Ovis aries: one gene and its partners. The protein of the gene in region 4 interacts with the protein of the main gene of each other region in a biochemical or structural test. Links are inferred from orthologs where the notes say so. Each region holds a gene or a part of one and is shown on either strand. Other genes may lie near its edges. The genes, in order: ERBB3, ERBB4, PTPN6, SYK and FLT3.

Region 1 (4,075 bases), on a different chromosome or scaffold from region 4:
AATACAGAGAAGTTGGATGGAAACAGCAGTCGACTGCCTCCAGTCTCAGCCTTCTACCCAATTTTATTGTCAGAGGAGATCCATTAAGAAGTCTTCCAAACATCGCTCACTCACTCACTCAATCCTCACTCACTGTCAGTCTTGGAGGTTCACTTTACTTTGTAAGTGTGGAGGAGGACATGGGGGCTTATAGTCAATCTTGGACCCTGAAGCCCTACCCTGTCTCTCCTCTGGCTCGGTGAAAGGCTGCAAGGGAACGGGTAGATACCACCTGTTCCAGCCACCCTTCCCTGAGGCGGTGGCAGCCTAGTGGGAGGCAGGAGTGGGAATGGAGGAAGGGAGGTGGGTGAGGCCCCAACCCCTCCTCCTGGATGCACCCCTAGTCTGACCACTCGACCTTTGAGGGGTTCCCATTCCCTATCACTCCCCATGAAGGGAAAAGTGTGAGCTAGACCCAGCAGAGGAGTAAACAGACACGAGCTCCCAGAGGTGCCTGGGAACCCTAGGGTCCTTGGGTTGAAAAGAAAACCACTAGGAGGCTGGTCGTTTCTGCAACAGCCCCACCCCAACTCCCTTCTTGCCAGGACACCCCCTCTTCCAAGTCAAGGCGCCAACCTTTCTCCCCAGATAAAGGAGGAGCCAAGATTTCTGCACAAGGAAGCAGGGTGTGTGTGTGTGTACACACGCACACACATTCGCACGCAGACAAACACGTACACAGCTCCCCTACTAGCCCGGTCCGTCCTTGGGTTTCCTTGTTAGGGAGTATTGCAGGTGGCCCCATCCTTCCCACCTGCCCGCATGTGTTTGTGCAGACTTTGTGTCGAGCTGGGGAGACTACAGTGTTAGAGGTCCCAGTTCCCTGCCACCCTGAGGGTAAAGTCCATATTACACAAACAAGAGCAAAGGGCTGGGCGGGAAACGATGAACAACACCTCTGAGGAGGAACCAGGCATCTAGGGGAGGAGTGGAGGGGGAGGGGAATTCAAAAGTCCTTGCTATACCCAGCGACCAGGGGCACCGGGAGGGCCAGTGTCACGGGGCTCCCCTTTGGTAGAGAGCACTGGGGTGGGTCGCAACAAGAATCTCCAGCCCCTCCTCAGCCAGAGGCCTTCTCCCCCAAGTCCCCCGCCCCCATCACCGCCAGGACAAAGGGGCTATAGAAGGACTGAGACGGGGCCGGATGCCCAGAGGCTGCAGGAGCCAGATAAAGGGTAAAGAGACCCAACCATGCCTGCCTCCTGTCTCCCTCAGGGAAGGCGGCCAGGATCCAGGACTCCTGGGTTCCCAGCTGAAGATTCCAGGGGCCTGAGCGGAACAGTGAGACAGTCACTTTACTCCATCTCTCCCACTCCAATGCCCAGACCCCCGCCCTCTACCAGCTGGGAGTGTTCACATCCCAAGATCCCAGGGTCTAAATTTAGGCCCAGCAACTGTGAGGGAAGCACAGGTGTTTCTCCCACTCCCACCCTGGGGAAGGGGCCCTGACAGTGCCAAACCCCAAGCTGAGATCTGGGGGGGAGGGGAGGAAATCAACAGAACTCCTCCAATGCCAGCATCCCCAGCACCCCTCAGTTGTCCACCACCCCAGAGACACCCCAAAGAGGGGGGCTTAGCTGGCATGGGAGTGGGAGGAGGAACAGAGGGGTGATCTGACTCTTGTCTAGACGGCTGGAGACCGCCAGACAATAAACAGAATGGGAGTAGGGATGAAGCTGGCTCTGAGAAGGACCCTCCCCATGATAGGGGGCTCAGAAGACAGGACAGGTGCCCTGTCAGCCCTCAAGTTGGGGAGAGAAAAGGCTGAAATATAGCGGCTGGAAATCCTTGACCCTATAGCTGGTGGTCCAGGGCTCTGTACATAGTAGATGCTCAGTAAATATTGGTTAAATTGATCTGGGGCTTAAAAAAAGTTTGGTCAAGTTGGAGACCAGCCAACTTTATTATTTTGAGAGAACGAGGGCAGTCAGCCTCTGCGTGGCCGCTCTCCCTGCTGTCCCCTGGACTTAGCCCCCAGGTTAATCTCCACTCTCCCCAGGGCAGGCCCACTCACGGAAGAGGAGGTGTCACTCTGTTTTCCAACACTAGAGAACAACAACCTCTCCCCCTTCCACAGCTCCGCCCTGTCGGCAGAACAACGAAACTGGAGCTTGCTGAGCCCCAGGGGCCAAAGAGGTCTGGAGTAAACCGAGATGCCCACCTCCGTGCCCCGCTTCCTCCGTGTTCTCCACCTCCAATCACCCCCTCACGTTTACAGAATGGAGGTCCTAGTTCCCGTCCCTGTAGGGTCCTCAGAAGTGTGAATGGTTTAAGCATCCGCCGGAGAGACAAATCTGAGGGTCTGCGAGGCGCCCAGGAGGCGGTGGCCGGGGAGCAGGTCCCTGAATCGCGTCCCCGCCCGGACCACGCCGAGAACCCCATCCTGACGGTCCCGGGCCCAGGGGGTCCCAGCCGGCGGGGGCTTCACACCCCAGCCTCGCGCAGCCCAAGCTCCTGCCGCTGGCCTCCGGCACCCCACGAATCCGGCTCGGAATCCCGGGTTCGGAGCCCGCCAGTGCTCCCGCGCCGCTTACCTGCCTGCGAATTGCCCACCTCGGAGCCCCGGGCCAGGCTGAGGAGGAAACCCAGCACCTGCAGAGCCCGGTTCACCTTCATGACTCCAGCGGAGGGTGAGGGGAACCCAGCCCAAGCCGGCCGGGAAGGGCCCTGGACTAGGACATCGAAGCGGAGCCACCTGAGCCGCCAGCGACCCCGGTAGCGGCGGCAGAGGAGGCTGCGAAGTGCAACCGGAGCCGGAGTCCGGGGCGGGATGGCAGGGGAGGAGTGGAGTCTGCGAGGGAGCGCAGGACGGAGCGCAGGGGGAGGGGGTGAGTCTCGGCCGCGCCCCCTCGGGCGCGAGGCTGGAGTAGCGATTGCCGGAGCTTCGGCGGCCCGCCCCGAGCTAGCGCGCCCCACGCCCAGTGGCCGGCAGCTTGGCCGCGCAGATCCTAAACGGCTCTCGCCCTAATTATTCTCCCGGAGTCCAAGATTCCGAACGCCCCCAAATACTTCCAGAGGAGAAAGGTAATGGGGGTGGGGAGAGAACGCTCCAAAGCCCGACCCCCTGCGAGTTGGCCTCGCCCACTAACCAAATCACTCAACTCCCCTAGCCGGTTGGGTCACTTGGGGGAGTTTCTGTCTCAATGTGTTTGCCTGTGTGTGTGTGTGTTTTTGAGGGGGAGGGTGTTTTTGTCGCCTTGAACAGGCCACCTCAGTTTCCCCGGAAACCCCCTCGAAACCCCATAACTCATCCGCCCTGCCGAGGAACCCGAGCTCCAGAGGCCGCGTGAAATTGCACTGTCTCCGGCCGCTTCCTCCTCCAGACCCGGCGCCGGCCCGGCCTCTCCCGGGGATTTGGTAGGGGGGCGGGGGTGGCTTCCAGCCTGGGAACAGACCCCGAAGCCCGCCTTTTCACTTCCACCCCGGGAGGGGCTCCCGCACCTGTCGCTGTCCCCTCTGCTGCCCCCCACGGCCGCCTGGGAGAACAGCTGCCTCCCCTTGCACACTGGAGTCGGACCGCGCCGTCGGGGCGGCCGCCTTCCCCACCACAGAAGTTCACTTTCCCAGGCCTTCCGGGCCTGGGGTCTTCCTGGAAAGGAGGAGGAGGGGGACGCCGAGAGGGCCCTAGAGACTGCGTCCCCGAAAGGCATGAACCCAGGGCACCAGCTCCCGGATCCTAGCCAGAGGCGCTGTTGACCACCACGAGGGGATGCCCCCAAACCCAGGCCGACACCAAATGGATAGGATGGGCACTTCCTGGTGCCCAGCCGGCGGCAGTGAGGCCTCACACGGTGTGGCATTCCGGATCTTGCCCTGAAAGCCTAATTATTTTCCCCAGAGTTTCAAGCCTGAAGACTTCAAGAACAGTTGAGCTTTGAATAAGAAAAATTCCACCTCTCACTCTGAGCCAAGAGTACTGGCTAAAATTCTTTAAACTTGCTTTGCACCCTGGAGGGCCTGTTCTGTGATTGGAGGCTACCTTTGCCCTCTGAGTGTTGACCTTGTCCTGACCACTTACTTAACAGTCATGATAGTA
Region 2 (4,266 bases), about 190 Mb from region 4:
ACGGTGAGAAAAACAGCAAAGATAATCCCAAAGAGCAGTGTGAACACTTCTGCTGCAGTCAGTACCACTGGCCAAGTCACCATCACCTGCTCAAGGCTTAGTTTCTCCTGGCCCTGTGCTACTTCTGGATAAAGCTGCATGCTCAGCTTGTTTGGCCTCCTCTCTGTTCCTCTTACTTGCTGTGGACCTAAGAAAGGGAAGGCTGAGGCCTCTGGGAAGAAGCTGCTGTTTCACTCTGTTCCAACTCCACGCAAATTCTTAAGGGACACAACTATAGATAAAAGACGTGGGGGAGGAATAGGAAGGTCTCAAATGATGAGCGAGGAGGCAGGGTGACTTAATTTTTAAGCTCCCCTGATACTTTTATGTAGTTGCTGCTTCTAGAGAAGCTGAAAAGGGAAAATCATTCATAGAACGCCTGTGCAAATAGCAAACCAATAATCCCCTGCCCTCAGGAGGTTCTGGCCTTTGTCCTGGGTACAGTTTCAGAGTTGTAAAAAGCAAGGGATATGTGCACTGATATAATCCAATCCCATATGTTTCAGACTAAGAAGAGTTCAGAAACTCCTATGGCTAGCAATGACTTCTGGAGGTCGTATGAACATGGAAGAGGACTAAAGCAGGACCCACTGTAGGATAAACCTAATTATTTAAGGTTGGTTATATCCTATCATTTGCCTTAAGTTATTTCAGACTGATCAGCTCAGCCCTGCATCAATTTCTAGCCATTTAGAACCAAATTGGTGGCTTTGGACTAGAATCGGCTTAATGAGAATGAACCTAAAACCAAGTTGTTCTAGAGTCCAAGGAAAAGATGAAGTGACCCCATAAAGTCTAAAAAATCTAAGGATGCAGCTCTACAAAAGTGAAAGTCTAGTTTGATCAATTTGCGAGCGTGGGAATGATGGGAGAGGTTGTATAGTTAGTTATACAGACTGAAGAAAGAGGAGTGCTTAGGTTCCCAGGACTACCTACTCCGCAGATGTTAACAATTACTGAACCAGCTTTTGAACTACTGTCTGAATGTGAAGCACGAGGAAGTAGGAAGCGAGGTAGCCTAATACAATTGAAGCAGCGTATTCTTTTCTTCTGTTTCTAGGGCAGGTCCAGTCTGTGGATGAGCACCGTGGAGTGTGGAGTAAATGGTGACTTTCTGGCTAAAAAAAAAATCTTTTTTGTAAAGCATCTCTCAGGTGGTCTCCACGCTTTCCGGGCCAGCTGTCCGCCGTGTGTCTGGGGGTGGGGGGGGGTGGTCTCTGATTCAGTTTGTGGCCTCCGGTGAGCCCTTTAAATTCAGCTCCCCCCGCCCCCACCGCTAGGCTCCCAGCTCCCTGACAGGTGTTTTCCCAACTCCTGAGGCCCACGATTTTGGGGAGTGGCTGAACCAATAAGATTTCCCTTTGGGGGGGAAGGCGTGGCTAGTTGGGTCAGAGCGGGGGCGGGGTTTGCGCGGCTGAGCAGAGCCAGCCTGGCTGCGTGGAGGGTTGTTTTACCCACCGCCCGCTCGCCCCCAACCTTTTTTTTTTTCCTCCCGGACGGAGTCTTATTAATTTCTCGGTGGGGCTGCAGCTGGAGACCGCGGAGCGTTGGAAATGACGCTCGGAGCTTTAATTACCGCAGCCGCCGGACAAGTGTGAAGAAAGCTGACAGCAAAAAAAAAAAAAAAAGGACAGGATTGGGGGTGAAGCGAGAAGCTTCCCCCTCCCGCCCCTTTCCTCCCAATTTGGACTGGAGGTGCAAGGAAACTGAAAAGGGAGTCGAACAGAGTCGGGCTGGGGGGAGAGGCCGGAAACCTACCGCCTGTTTGCAATCAACTTTTTTTTTTTTTGGAAACCCTCTTCCGAACCCTTTCTTTTTATTGTTGGCCAACCAGGGAGAGAGAGCGAGAAAGTGAGGAGGGAGCGAGAAAACGGAGGCTCACACGGGGACGTAGCTGCCCGGTCCGGCCCGGAGCGCCGCCGCACACCCTCCAGTACACTCCCACCCGCGCGCGCCCTCCCGCGCACCCTCTCCCGGTCCTCCGGGTCCGGGCCCTAGACCCGCGGACGCGGACTCGGTCGCCCGCGCTCGGAGCTGGTGCACCGCGCGCGCCAGTGCCCCTCGAGCCCCCACGCGCGCCCGGCCGAGGGATCTCCTCCGCGTGCCCGAAAGGGGATTATGCCATTTGGACATGTAATTGTCAGCACTGGATCTGAGACTTCCAAAAAATGAAGCTGGCGACAGGACTGTGGGTCTGGGTGAGCCTTCTCGTGGCGGCGGGGACCGTCCAGCCCAGCTCTTCTCAGTCAGGTGGGTCGCGGTCCTTCTCGCGCTCCCAGGGTTGAACCTGCTGCTGCCGGCCGAGCGGCGCCGGGTGGCTCCTCGCCCCCTGCGCCCTTAGCCCAACCAGAGACCCTCTCGCTCTCGGGCGTGGAGGGACCACGTCACCCGCGCCTCTTCCTTGTGTTTTTCGTTCGCCCCTCTTTCTATCCCAAACTTACCCTCTGCGTGGGCATGTGTTTCTCGTGAAAAACCACTCTGCGCCCCTTTCTCCGTCCCTTTTCTTTCTCTCTCCCCTTGTTTATTTCTCGCGCGTTTTCTTCGAGCCTCTCTAAGCCGGATCCCTTCTGGTAGCGCCTGTTGTGCGGGACGTGGGAGACCCAAAGCCGGAGTCAGAGGAGACGCTCCTTGCAGCGTCTGCCTACCCCCCGCCCCCGCCCGCGAGGGAAGAAGCCTCGGAGAAGCGTTGCCCTGCCGGGGCTCCGAGGCAGGATTGGGATCCCGGGGCCGTGGCAGCTGGGCTCCGGGGAGCGGGAGGGCAGTGGGGAGAGGAGCTCCGAGAGCCGGCTTTGCACCTGTGTGCGCTGCCCGCGGCCGCTGCGTCCCTGGCCGTCCGAGCCTGCGGGGTCAGACCCGACTCGAGCCCAGCCTGGGAGCTGGAGCACGGCGGGAGGACACGCCTCGGCCGGGGGGCCCGGGAACGCAAGGCCTCCGCTGGCGTCCCCAGCCCTCGCCCCGCGGACTAAGGGGGGCTGGCTGGCTTGCTTGACCTTTTTTTTTTTTTTTTTTTTTTAATGGCCTGACTGACTTAAGCCGGGAGCCCGGCCTTCCCGTCGGTTTCTGTGTTTGGCTTCAGGAAGAGTTCTTCCTGTAGTTCAACTTGCTATTGGCCGGAGTCCCTCCAACTTCTGTTTACTGCCGGGCGCGGCTGCCGAGCCAACCCGTCAGGCGAATTGATAGAACCCAAGGCGGGTGCTGCGGCACTGGGTGCGCTACCACTGCTGCCCGGGGAGCTCGCGCCCCGGGACCCCGCGGGGCAGGAGGCGAACTGACCCCCGGGGAGGAGGCGCGGCGGGGCCCGCAGGGTGGATGACAGCCCCTGCGGGCCCAGGGAGCTCAAAGTTTCTGACACTTGAGTTTCCTGAGGATGAAAGTGGGACAGGAAAGAAAGGGCCAGGAAAACCGGGGACTGACGTGGCCAAGGGGGGCCTTTTGGAGAGCCGGGGAGATGTCCGGAACCATACGGGGCTGGTCGCGAGGGCGTGGGAGGCACCTTGAGAAGATAAAGCCCCCGGGGAGTGGCGAGAGGGAGAGTTTCAGGCCCTCGGAGCGTGTCCTTCTGACCTCACCAAGAAAACAGCGCGCTGGAGTTTTCCCGCTCCGCCCCCGCCGCCGCCGCCTCCCCCCGCTCCCCCCTCGCCTAGTAAATAACAAGTTACAATCCTCGAGCCTTTCAAAATGACCTTCGAATGGCACAATGTGCGCCGTTTGTTCTGGCCGTTTGCACCCTCCCAATTACTCCGAAATTCTTCATGCATACCAGGTCCCGGGCTCCAGCCACCTCCGGAATTACACCAACACCGACTTGAGATTCCAAGCGGCCTCTTAGATACATCCCTTTTTATCTCCCTCCCCACTCCGCGTCCCTTCATATTTCCCCTCAATGGGTTGATTATGCACATTGAACCATTCAGAAGCAGTTGCGACTGACACGCAGGCTTAGCCGAGAGGAATTTCCACCGGGCGACCTACTGGGGGGCTGTCTGGTGCAATCTCTGCCGCTGGGGGACCCGGCTGCGAGTCCGCAGCGATTGGGTATTAACTGTGCGGCTCGGGCTTGAGCTATGCCGAAAAGCCCTTTTCAGAATTTCTGCAAGGAATGTAATCCAAATTAGTTCTGCAGCTGTCCTCTTCCTCGTCTCTGGCGACACCGACTCGCACCCTCGCTGGTCTCTTCTCGCTTTCCCCCCGTGAATTGTCAGACCCACACAAGTGAGCCCAGTTAGA
Region 3 (4,106 bases), on a different chromosome or scaffold from region 4:
GTAAACAGGCTCAAGGAAGCTGAGAGTTAAAAAAGTAAGGGCCTACTAATTGAGAAGAGAAAATTACTCACTTGGGAAGCAAGGAGATAAAGGCAGAGATGAAGATCAACAGGTATGCAGAAAGACAGGCAGTCTGGAAGAGCAAACAAAGTAATCTCTAGAAAGCTCTTGAAGTTCCCTGGGCCTCAGTATCCCTACCTGATAAATGGGTTTAACAATATTTCCCAAATGCTGATATAAAAAGCCGATATGAAGTAGGTTTTTAGTATGAAAACACACAGCTTTTGTGTGATGTTATTAATGTATATGCCAACCCTATTTAGTAGGTCCTGTTAGCCAATTTTATTTATTTATTTTTGGCTGTGCTGGGTCTTCCCTGCTGCTTGTGGTCTTTCTCTAGTTGAGGTGCATGGGCTTCTCAGTGCTGTGGCTTCTGTTTTTGCAGAGCGAAGAGGGGCTCAAAGGCTCAGTAGTTGTAGCCCAAGGGCTTAGTTGCCCTTCAACGTGTGGAATCTACCCAGACCAGGGATCAAACCCATGTCCCCTGCCTTGGCAGGTGGATTCTTAACCACTGGACAACCAGGGAAGTCCATGTTAGCCCTACTTTAGAAACAAAAACTAAGGCTCAGAGAAGTAACTTGACCAAGGTCACAAACTAGGAAGGGGAAAGACAACAAACCAAGGCTGTCTGACGTCTAACGAGGCCACTGTCCTTCCCACTGCACCACCCGCTGCGGGAGGAGGAGGCAGGGCGTGGGCAGAGGCCCCTGGGGAGCTGGCACGGGACCCACGAGCATAGTGCTGGCTGGGAGCTGGGCCCTATGGCTGAGCTGAGCTGTTCTGAGAGGCCGGGACCCTTGGCAAAGGGTCTCACAGGGCCAGCCTGAGGAACCAAGGAAGGATTCTTTCTCAGGAAAGGACTTGCCAACCATCTGGCAGGAAAATGACAGAGGCAGGAGCATGGAAGAGATCGGGGACCAGAAGACCCAATAAGAACCTTGACAGCAGGGATCTCCTTGGCAGTCCAGTGGTTAAGACTCCTCGCTCCCAGTGCAGGGGGCTCGGGTTCAACCTCTCATCAGGGAACTAGATCCCACATGCCACAACTAATAAATAAATGTATTTATATATAAATACATCTATCAATAAACAAATTATTTATAAATAAATCTACCAATAAGTCATTTGTTTACACATAAATCTATTAATAAGTAATTTAGTTATAAGTAAATCTATCAATAAATATTTTTAAAATACATAATTAATAAAATAAATTTTTAATATTTTTTTAAAGAATCTTGACATTGGGGCTGAAGGAGACAAGGGGTGCACTGAGGGAGGCAGGCACACCCCAAGAGCAGATGTGAATATAACAAGCAAGAACTTACTGGACTTGGGGCAACCAACCTACCAACTCACCAAGACGCCCAGCAGGTCCTCACTGTAGTATCCAAACACCAAGAAGGCCCCACGTGACCCAGCCCTCCTCTGTCCTCACTGGCCAACTCTGCCCCCAGGCACCATCATTCAGTTTATTCCCACAGTAGGGTCTTTGTACTGGCCATTCCCTCTGCCAGCAGCACTGGAGCCTGATTCTTCCTCCTCATCCAGGTCTCAGCTCCTTCGTCACCGACTCAGGAAGGCCCTCCCTGGCCCCTCCAGCCAGTGATGCCACTGGCACCCCAGTCCCTTATTAGCATGTGAAGCTGGTTTATTTTCTGGGTAACACTTCCGAGACCCGGCAATTATCCTATTTAATGGGTTCCTTGGGCAGTCTGTCCCCTTCCACCCGCATGAAGCTCCGTGAAGGCAGGAACTGTGTCTCTTGTTTGTTACAGTACTGGCAGCACCTTAAAAAGCACCTGACAGAACTTCCCTGGCAGTCCATTGGTTAGGACCTCACCTTCCAATACCCGGGGTGTAGGTTCATCCATGACTGGGGAGCTAAGATCCCTCCCACATGACTTGGGGCCAAAAAAGCAAAACATAAAACAGAAGCAATATTGTAACAAATTCAATAAAGACTTTAAAAATGACCCACATTAAAAAAAAAATCTTAAAAAAATTTAAAAACTAAAAAGCACCAGCATACAATAGATACTTAACAGTATCTGAATGAATTGATGCAGAGGAGTGAAGGAAAACTGAGGGAGATTGGAATGAAGGATTTGGGACATTTAGTGAGAACAGGGCATCTTTCTCAGGTCTGCCTTTCAGATGTGTAATGTTTCAGGTGTCATTCAGCTCCCTAGGGGACGTGTCCTTAGCAGAAGACAGAAGCAGGGGACCAGAGGGCGGAGAAAGAAATTTGGTGAGAATAAATATGCATCCGTCAGGGAGAAAGTACCAGAGAAGGGGGTGGGTCAGAGGGTCATGAACAAGGCTGGAGTTCTGGCATCTTGTGGGGAAAGTGACCTGGGGAGGGGACAGGGGCAGGTCACACTCATGGTCATGCACCTGTCAGGAGTGAGCAGGATCCCCGCCCCTCCCTCCCCAATGAACAAGAGCCCCGGTTACCCAGATGGAGCAAGGGACTTACCCATGGGACAGCATTTCCCCAGAGGGGTGGGGAGTCCCAGGCAGAAGGCACAGGGGGCGGGGTCGAGCCCGTGGCGCAGCTGTGCAGGGGCCCAAGCCAGGTGAGGAAGAATGCTCAGAAACCAGCCACTTTCCTCTTGATGCTGCCTGCCAGGCCACAGGCACCGTGGGGACAAGCCCCTGGACTAAATAACCCCGGAAAAGGGACAGGTGGGGCGGAGCTGGCCTCAGCAGCTGGCTTCTCCCTCCAGCCCTACTCGGCAGTCTAGCGCCAGCCCAGCACGCCTGCCTGTTCCCCGCCTCCTTCCCTGGGGAAGGGAGGAGCCACCTGGAACTCCACCTGGCCCGCCAGCCAACCGAGCCGCAGGAAGCTGGGTGCTGCGGGCAAAGCCCAGGAAGTCACCCTGGCCAAGGGAGCACCAGCCAATGGGGAAGTCTCCAGGGGCACAGAAGCCCAGGAGCCTCAGGAAAAGTCCAGAAAGCCCCACTGCTCAAAGAGGGTGAAGGCTGTGCAGGCCACCCCACCCAGGGGGGTTGAGGGGCCGGCCCATCCTCCCACTCTGCACTCTGCCCTGGAGCTGGTCCAGCCCTGAAGGAACACAGGAAAGATCTGGAAAGGGAAATGGGACAGCCTGAAAGGCAAGAGGGAATCAGGCAGGACGTAGAGGTTGTCAGGGTCACAAAAAACAGACATCAACACTAAGTCACAGGCACATTTATTATCCTGCAGTACAATTAGGTCTTCCCTTCCCCAGCAGTGTTAACGGGAGGGCCAGTCCTCAGGAGGCGGCCACGCTGCCACCTGAAGCAGGCCCGTGGGGCGGCAGGGTCATGGGCGGCAGGAACAGAGCCTTCAGCTTCCCCGACAGGCTGGCAATCTCAGGATCCTGGGCTTCGTAAGACTTAACAAGGCGGGCAAACTTAAGAACACCTGCAAAGGGGAACGAAACTTCAGTCCACATCCACAGGGGACGGATGTGCCCAAGATGGCAGGAGGGAGCAGCCTGAGCTGGAGTGGATGGCTGCTTCCCCTCTGGTCAGGTAGCTGTCTTCAAAACAAGACCCAGGCAATGCCCTGCGTGGTCCGGATAAATTATTTCCTGGTCTACACCAGGCACAACCGGATGGGATGCAGTGAATGAAAACATCCCAAAGCAGTGTGCTTCCCAGGATCAGATTAACCATTTTAGCAGTTTAGTCACAAGAGCCCAAAGGATGCGTACCCAACAGAACAAGATCGCCAGTCTATAACCAGGACACAGGAGGATCATGGGCCAGCTGGGTGGGATCAATAAACACTCTTGGAGAACTCGGTGATCTCACCCAAGAAACTGAACCCTCAGATTAGCCAGCCCTCAGATTAGCTGAAGCACTTTTTTTTGGGGGGGGGGGGCGCTGCAGAAGTGTGTGGTCACATAGACATTTCACTAAAAGCCATCAAAATGGGACTCATGGGACGTTCTCCTGTGGCCTCCATCACTGGTTTACTAGCAGAGTCTGATTTCTCATCTTAAAACGGAATAACAGTATAATTAATGGTAACGACAACATGCACTTAAGAACCTCTC
Region 4 (3,512 bases):
ATATATATGTGTTAGTATACTGTATTGGTGTTTTTCTTTCTGGCTTATTTCACTGTGTATAATAGGCTCCAGTTTCATCCACCTCATTAGAACTGATTCAAATGTATTCTTTTTAATAGCTGAGTAATACTCCACTGTGTATATGTACCACAGCTTTCTTATTCATTCATCTGCTGATGGACATCTAGGTTGCTTCCACGTCCTGGCTATTATAAACAGTGCTGCGATGAACATTGGGGGTACACGTGTCTCTTTCAATTCTGGTTTCCTTGGTGTGTATGCCCAGCAGTGGGATTGCTGGGTCATAAGGCAGTCCTATTTCCAGTTTTTTTAAGGAATCTCCACACTGTTCTCCATAGTGGCTGTACTAGTTTGCATTCCCACCAACAGTGTAAGAGGGTTCCCTTTTCTCCACATCCTCTCCAGCATTTATCACTTGTAGACTTTCAGATCGCAGCCATTCTGACTGGTGTGAAATGGTACCTCATTGTGGTCTTGATTTGCATTTCTCTGATAATGAGTGATGTTGAGCATCTTTTCATGCGTTTGTTAGCCATACATATGTCTTCTTTGGAGAAATGTCTATTTAGTTCTTTGGCCCATTTTTTGATTGGGTCATTTATTTTTCTGGAATTGAGCTGTAGGAGTTGCTTGTATATTTTTGAGATTAGTTGTTTGTTAGTTGCTTCATTTGCTATTATTTCCTCCCATTATGAAGGCTGTCTTTTCACCTTGCTTATAGTTTCCTTTGCTGTGCAGAAGCTTTTAAGTTTAATTAGGTCCCATTTGTTTATTTTTGCTTTTATTTCCAATATTCTGGGAGGTGGGTCATAGAGGATCCTGCTGTGATTTATGTCGGAGAGTGTTTTGCCTATGTTCTCCTCTAGGAGTTTTATAGTTTCTGGTCTTACGTTTAGATCTTTAATCCATTTTGAGTTTATTTTTGTGTGTGGTGTTAGAAAGTGATCTAGTTTCATTCTTTTACAAGTGGTTGACCAGTTTTCCCAGCACCACTTGTTAAAGAGATTGCCTTTACTCCATTGTATATTCTTGCCTCCTTTGTCAAAGATAAGGTGTCCATAGGTGCATGGATTGAAATCTAATGGTTATGTGGGCAGAAAGGAAAAGGGCAGATTAGCTCAGGCTCTAGACCTGAGTCCCAGAAGGAAGAGCATCCTGCTGACTGGAGGACTTTCCTCCAGAGCTGGAGGGTGGGTCCTCTAACAATGCCTTGCCATTCGGGTCTTGACCACTGCCTGGTCTTTGTTTTGCCAGGTGGACACCTGAAGGAAAGGCACAGGCATGGGTGACGGTGCCAACCACCTGCCCTTCTTCTTCGGCAACATCACTCGGGAGGAGGCGGAAGACTACCTGGTCCAGGGGGGCATGAGCGATGGGCTCTACCTGCTGCGCCAGAGCCGCAACTACCTGGGTGGCTTCGCCCTGTCAGTGGCACATGACAGAAAGGCACATCACTACACCATCGAGAGGGAGCTGAATGGCACCTATGCCATCACGGGTGGCCGGGCCCATGGCAGTCCAGCCGAGCTCTGCCACTACCACACCCAGGAGCTGGATGGCCTCATCTGCCTCCTCCAGAAGCCCTTCAACCGGCCACCGGGGGTGCAGCCCAAGACTGGCCCCTTTGAGGACTTGAAGGAGAACCTCATCCGAGAATATGTGAAACAGACATGGAACCTACAGGTGGGTGGTGGGCGGTCCTCTGGCAGGTGTGATGAAGGGTCTTATTGCTCACAGGGGCCCTGGAATTCCACACAGGCACCCAGTTGCATGAGAGCTATGCAGTGGTGCTTCAGATAAGCAACCTTCTCCTTAGTCATCAACATGGGCCCCCAAATGCCTCACTCCAAGAAGGCAGCCTTTCCTCTTTTGTGGTCATGCTTGAGAGGGTGGGCCCCTTTGTGCCAGCAATGTGGGTTTCTCCACCACAGGAAACCACTGTCACCCAATTCATGCAGGGCCCTTTCAAAGCAGGATCACTGGGCAGATACTTGTATTTATTTACTTAAGAGGATCATACTGAACACACTGATTGGCACTTGATTTTACCCCTTCCTAATGTCTCTTCCAGAATTTTCCATGTCAACAAGCACACAGCTGCATCAGCCCCTTACTGGCCCTCTGATAGTCCCTCCTGTGGACCATAATTCATTTTACTAGCACATATTGGTAGACACCTTCATTGTTTATAAACAATGCCCCCTACCATTCTCATAACCTTTTATCAATATCAGCAGGGTAACCCCAAACTGGTTGGATTGAACACAGTGAAGGATTTGGATGTGATGACAGGTTGTCATCCAGAAAGGTCCCAAAGGTTGTGACAACTTACATTCCCGCCACACTCTCCATAGCACTTGGTATCAGGAGGCACCAGGCTGGTTGACAGTCTTCTGGTTGGACTCACATGTTGAACCATTTCCTTGCACTTTGTGGATGTATGCTTTTTATATGTATGTGTGGATAACAGTAGAGGCTTTTGGAGGATTCCATCCACTCACTCCGTTACTCCTATAATATGCTCTGCACTGACTGCATTCAGTCTTGCAGACCAATATTATGGATTCTGTATTCTTCATTAGTATTTATTGGATATGATTTATACCAGGGGTCCTCCAGGATCTAATGCCTGATGATCTGAGGTGGAGCTATTGTAGCAATAATAGAAATAAAGCTCACCATAAATGTAATGTGCTTGAATCATCCAGAAACCATCCTCCACGAGGTCAGTGGAAAAATTATGCTCCACGAAACTGGTCCCTGGTGCCAAGACTTAGACCATCCTTTTACTCTTTTAATAGATTTACTGAGGTATAATTTACACACTATGAAAATTCATCCCTTTTGAGTGTACAGTTCTATCATTTTTTTTTTTAAACAAACAGGTGACATCACGTAGCCCCACCCCCAGCCCCAATCAAGATACACAATAAGTCCATCACCCATCAAGCACCCTCAGGTCACCCCCGCCCACTCCAGCCCCTGGCAACCCCTTACCTGATTTCTGTCCCCATAGTTTTGCCTTGTCTAGAATGTCATGTAAATGGACTCACGCAGCATGTAGCCTTCTCAGACTGGTTCCTTACACCCAGTATAACACATTTGTGAACCAGTTACGTGTCAGTGGTCCCTTCTTTATTGTGGCTGAGTAGTATTCCACACTCTGTTGCTTTTGCCCTTTGCTAACTCTGCACCGGTTGCCTCCTTGGTATGTAACTGTTACTGCTTTTGTTTTTCGTCCCATCTATGAAGCATGACAAAATGTTCAGGTTCACCTTCCCTTCTACCTCCCCTCCTCTCTTCCTGCTCCTCAGGGGTTGGTTATGTTTTTATTTTCACTTCTTCTGGTTCTTTTTATAACTTTGAATCAGTGACTTGTGTTCTTCATTTACCACTGTAATAGGTATCTATTTCTCTCCCACTAAGTGTGATTAGGAAGGTAATTCACTCAGCTGTCAGCCTCCTTCTCATTCTCGTTTTCCATGTTGTCA
Region 5 (3,512 bases), on a different chromosome or scaffold from region 4:
CAAAGCTATCCTAATTCAATTTCTCTCTCATCTTTTTGATACTAACCTTATACTGAAAGCAGAATTTGCAGCACCTCCCTTACACTCCACACTAAAACAAATAAAAACGCGAGTACAGATTATGTGCGCAGCTGCATTACCTAGGATGGTGACCAAAGCTGATTTACTGGGATGCTCTGAAGAGGAACAAGTGTAATAGCCAGTGTCATTTCTTCCCACTGATGATACAAAAGCAAACAGAATCCGTATCATAGTTCTGTTTGTGGAATAGGTACTCATCTCAAAGTAGCTGCCCTAGATTTTAATATAAAACAGAGTTTGAATGGAGTGATTTCCACCTGGATACTTGGTTCATTTTTCTGCATTTCAGAATACAAGCTCATCCTCTCACCTCTTCCAGTGCTTTATTCTCTAATTCCCAGCTGAGCCCGAATCCATGGTTTACGTGAATGGCTTTGCACCTTATCCATAAAGGTTCCCCTACTTTAAGAAATAATTGTGGCGGTGTGGTCTGAGGAGTCTGGTTTAGATCTAGAAGATGAAAAAATCCCGGGTAAGAAGAAAAGTGATTCCCCCCTGCCCCACACAATATATCCTGAACATTCTGCAGAATAAAGGCTTTAATGGTATCTCAGGGCTTCCCTGAGGGCTCAGTGGTAAAGAATCTGCCTGAGACACAGGAAGATCCCACGTGCCATGGAGCAACTAAGTCCATGGGTCACAACTGCTGAGCTTCTGCTCTAAAGCCTGGGAGTCGCAACTACTAAGCCCATGTGCAGCAACTACTGAAGCCCACACGCCCTGGAGCCCGTGCTACGTAACAAGAGAAGCTACCACAATGAGAGGTCCGTGCACCCCAACTAGAGAGTAGCCCCCCATTTGCCGCAACTAGAGAAAAGCCTGTGCATCAACAAAGACCCAGCACAGCCAAAAAATAAAATAAATAAATTTTTAAAAAAGATTTTAATGGCATCTTAAATATTACAAACTATCCACAATAAAAGGATCTTTCAGAGATTAAGTAGTCTCTTATGAAGAAATGAGCACAGAAAGAATCCATAATATTATACTGAAAATGGCCTGAAGGAACTATAGCATTTTTGAAATTGAGTGAGGACCTAAGGGGTGATGATTAGTCCCAGACTGTCTCCAAGGAACAGTCACAGAAAATGGACACGATATGACGGTCTTACCTATAGTGAAGAGCTTGGTACATTCCCTGCCCAGCTCATTTCTTGCACAGCACCTGATATCTGTTCCAAATAACTCATGGAGGACGCTCTCCTCCTTCGTGACGACAGCTGGACTCTCTCCTTTACAGCTGCAATTAAAAAAGAAATGTCAGTTGACTTAAACACCTTTTAAAATGACAAGCGAGTATTCAGGAGAAGAACCAGATAAAAGGTTGTAGAGTTTAAGAGCCTGATAAGAAAATAAAGATAGGAGCAGGTCACAAGGCAAACCAATTCATACTGAAGGTGCCCGCACCACCCACGGAATTCTTAAGGGAACTAGTTAGTTATTCATCACCTTCACCTAATTAGAATAACGCTGGAAGGAATCACATAATAAAAGAGTTCAAAAGGTTTTGAGAAAAGTATGGATACTAAAGGGGAAAAGGGCGGGAGGAACTGGAAAACTGGGATTGACATATATACACTCACTGTCGGTAGTATGTATAAAATAGAAAACAGCATGTGTAAAACAGGTAAGAGCATGTATAAAACAGATAACTAATGAGAACACGGGCTTCCCTGACAGTCCAGGGTGGTGGCTCAGAGGTAAAGAATCCGCCTGAAAATGCAGGAGACAAGGGTTCAGTCCCTGGCTCGGGAAGATCCCCTGGAAAAGGGAATGGCAACCCACTCCAGTATTCTTGCCCGGGAAATCCCATGGACAGAGGAGCCGGGCGGGCTACAGTCCATGGGGTCCCAAAAGAGTTGAACACAACTTAGCAACTCAACAACAACAAACGAGAACATATTGTATAGCTCAGGGAGCTCGACTTAAATGCTCTGAGGTGACCTGAACGGCGAGGAAATCCAGAAGTGAGGGGGTACTTGTACATGTAGGTCAGATTCATTTTGCTGCTCACTAGAAACTAATACAACACGGTAACGCAACTATACTACAATAAAAATTTATTTTAAAAAAGATTTTGTGTCTGGTGACCTCTTGGTTGTTGTCAAACAGAGAAAATGAATGGAAGAATTGAGAAAAGACAGAAAAGGGGTGGGGAAGAAAGTGGAAAAAAGGAAAAGCACAATTAGGTTCTAATACAGCAACAAGGTGTAGGGTCTTTGAAGCTCTGAAGAGGACAAGCAGTGAGAGGGAGAGAGGCCAGGGTTGCAGAAGTGCCCAGGGTCCCCGCAGCTCACAGAGGAGAGGGTGGTGTCACCTGAGAGGAGCCAGCCCCACCTGGGGATTTGGGCTTCCCTGGTGGCTCAATGCTAAAGAATCTGCCTGCAGCGCAGGTGACTCAGGTTTGATAAAATCCCCTGGAGGGCACGGGAACCCACTCCAGTATCCTTGCCTGGAGAATCCCCAAGGACAGAGGAGCCTGTCGGGCTACAGTCCATGGGGTCTCAAAGAGTCACGACTGAAGCAACTTAGCACACACGCATGGGGACTTGAGGGACTTCTCCCTGCCCTCTCCCACCTCCCTAACTATCACCTTTCCCAAAGCAGGTACAGCTTTTGGAATAGTCACAGCTTTCTGTGACTATACACAGACTATATACAGCTTCTGTGTATAGTCACTTTTCTCCTCTTTATCACTTCAGTCACATAAATTGTTTACACGTTATTCCTTGAGTTTTAAAAATGACAACAATAATTCTTTTTAAATTACAATAATAATAATTTTTGTTTGTTTTTGGCCAAGTGGTAAGGGAAATCTTAGACCCCTGACCAGGATGTAACCTGAGTACCCTGCATTGGAAGATCAGAGTCTAAACCACTGGACTGTCAGGGAAGTCCCAATAATAATTAATCTTTAAGATGACAATAATTGCTTATTATAGAAATTTTGGAAAATCCAGAGAAACCCAAAGAAAAGAATTTTAATTTGCCCATATTCCTACCACCATGAGATGACCAACTGTTACTATTTTGCTGTGTGTAGCTTTCTGATCTTTTTCTTCCCTGTTCACACATTTATATCTATAGGTAATCTCTTTTTCCTTCAAAATGTGGGATCCCAGTTTTCTCATTTGGCAACCTGATTTTTTTTTTTCTCCTTCTCTTTGGTCCCATTTTTCAATTAAAGTTGTTTAGTACATTTTAATTAGTTCAAACAGCATGAATCCTTACTTTGTGAACACTTAGGTATAACACATTTATAAGGTACTTAGTATCTACCAGGCATTGTTCTGTGCGTTTCACGTGTACCGATTCATTTCCTCATCAGAGTGATCGTACAAGGTACAGACCACTACCAGCCCCATGATTCTAATGAGGTGGGAAGGGGTTAAGTAACTCATTCAAGGCCACACAGGTATAAGCACAGAAGG

Evidence for each region.
Region 1: the proteins of SYK (region 4) and ERBB3 form a complex in vitro, tested with the Homo sapiens proteins (2 studies listed by BioGRID and IntAct, with this or other methods). The link is inferred for Ovis aries from reciprocal best matches to the Homo sapiens genes SYK and ERBB3.
Region 2: the proteins of SYK (region 4) and ERBB4 form a complex in vitro, tested with the Homo sapiens proteins (2 studies listed by BioGRID and IntAct, with this or other methods). The link is inferred for Ovis aries from reciprocal best matches to the Homo sapiens genes SYK and ERBB4.
Region 3: of the proteins of SYK (region 4) and PTPN6, one has a biochemical effect on the other in vitro, tested with the Homo sapiens proteins (2 studies listed by BioGRID). The link is inferred for Ovis aries from reciprocal best matches to the Homo sapiens genes SYK and PTPN6.
Region 5: of the proteins of SYK (region 4) and FLT3, one has a biochemical effect on the other in vitro, tested with the Homo sapiens proteins (2 studies listed by IntAct, with this or other methods). The link is inferred for Ovis aries from reciprocal best matches to the Homo sapiens genes SYK and FLT3.

What each region holds. Positions count from the first base shown.
Region 1 is NC_056056.1:163,452,879-163,456,953, forward strand, and holds the start of ERBB3 (receptor tyrosine-protein kinase erbB-3), read right to left. Parts: upstream 2,812-4,075; 5' UTR 2,656-2,811; coding exon 2,574-2,655; intron 1-2,573. UniProt on the Homo sapiens protein: Tyrosine-protein kinase that plays an essential role as cell surface receptor for neuregulins.
Region 2 is NC_056055.1:214,424,428-214,428,693, reverse strand, and holds the start of ERBB4 (receptor tyrosine-protein kinase erbB-4), read left to right. Parts: upstream 1-1,455; 5' UTR 1,456-2,207; coding exon 2,208-2,289; intron 2,290-4,266. UniProt on the Homo sapiens protein: Tyrosine-protein kinase that plays an essential role as cell surface receptor for neuregulins and EGF family members and regulates development of the heart, the central nervous system and the mammary gland, gene transcription, cell proliferation, differentiation, migration and apoptosis.
Region 3 is NC_056056.1:209,357,961-209,362,066, forward strand, and holds the start of PTPN6 (tyrosine-protein phosphatase non-receptor type 6), read right to left. Parts: upstream 2,806-4,106; 5' UTR 2,554-2,805; coding exon 2,540-2,553; intron 1-2,539. Other genes in the region: C3H12orf57 (protein C10), read right to left, coding at 3,318-3,469. UniProt on the Homo sapiens protein: Tyrosine phosphatase enzyme that plays important roles in controlling immune signaling pathways and fundamental physiological processes such as hematopoiesis.
Region 4 is NC_056055.1:25,859,329-25,862,840, forward strand, and holds part of SYK (tyrosine-protein kinase SYK), read left to right. Parts: intron 1-1,275; 5' UTR 1,276-1,302; coding exon 1,303-1,704; intron 1,705-3,512. UniProt on the Homo sapiens protein: Non-receptor tyrosine kinase which mediates signal transduction downstream of a variety of transmembrane receptors including classical immunoreceptors like the B-cell receptor (BCR).
Region 5 is NC_056063.1:32,296,522-32,300,033, reverse strand, and holds part of FLT3 (receptor-type tyrosine-protein kinase FLT3), read right to left. Parts: intron 1,322-3,512; coding exon 1,194-1,321; intron 532-1,193; coding exon 392-531; intron 295-391; coding exon 141-294; intron 1-140. UniProt on the Homo sapiens protein: Tyrosine-protein kinase that acts as a cell-surface receptor for the cytokine FLT3LG and regulates differentiation, proliferation and survival of hematopoietic progenitor cells and of dendritic cells.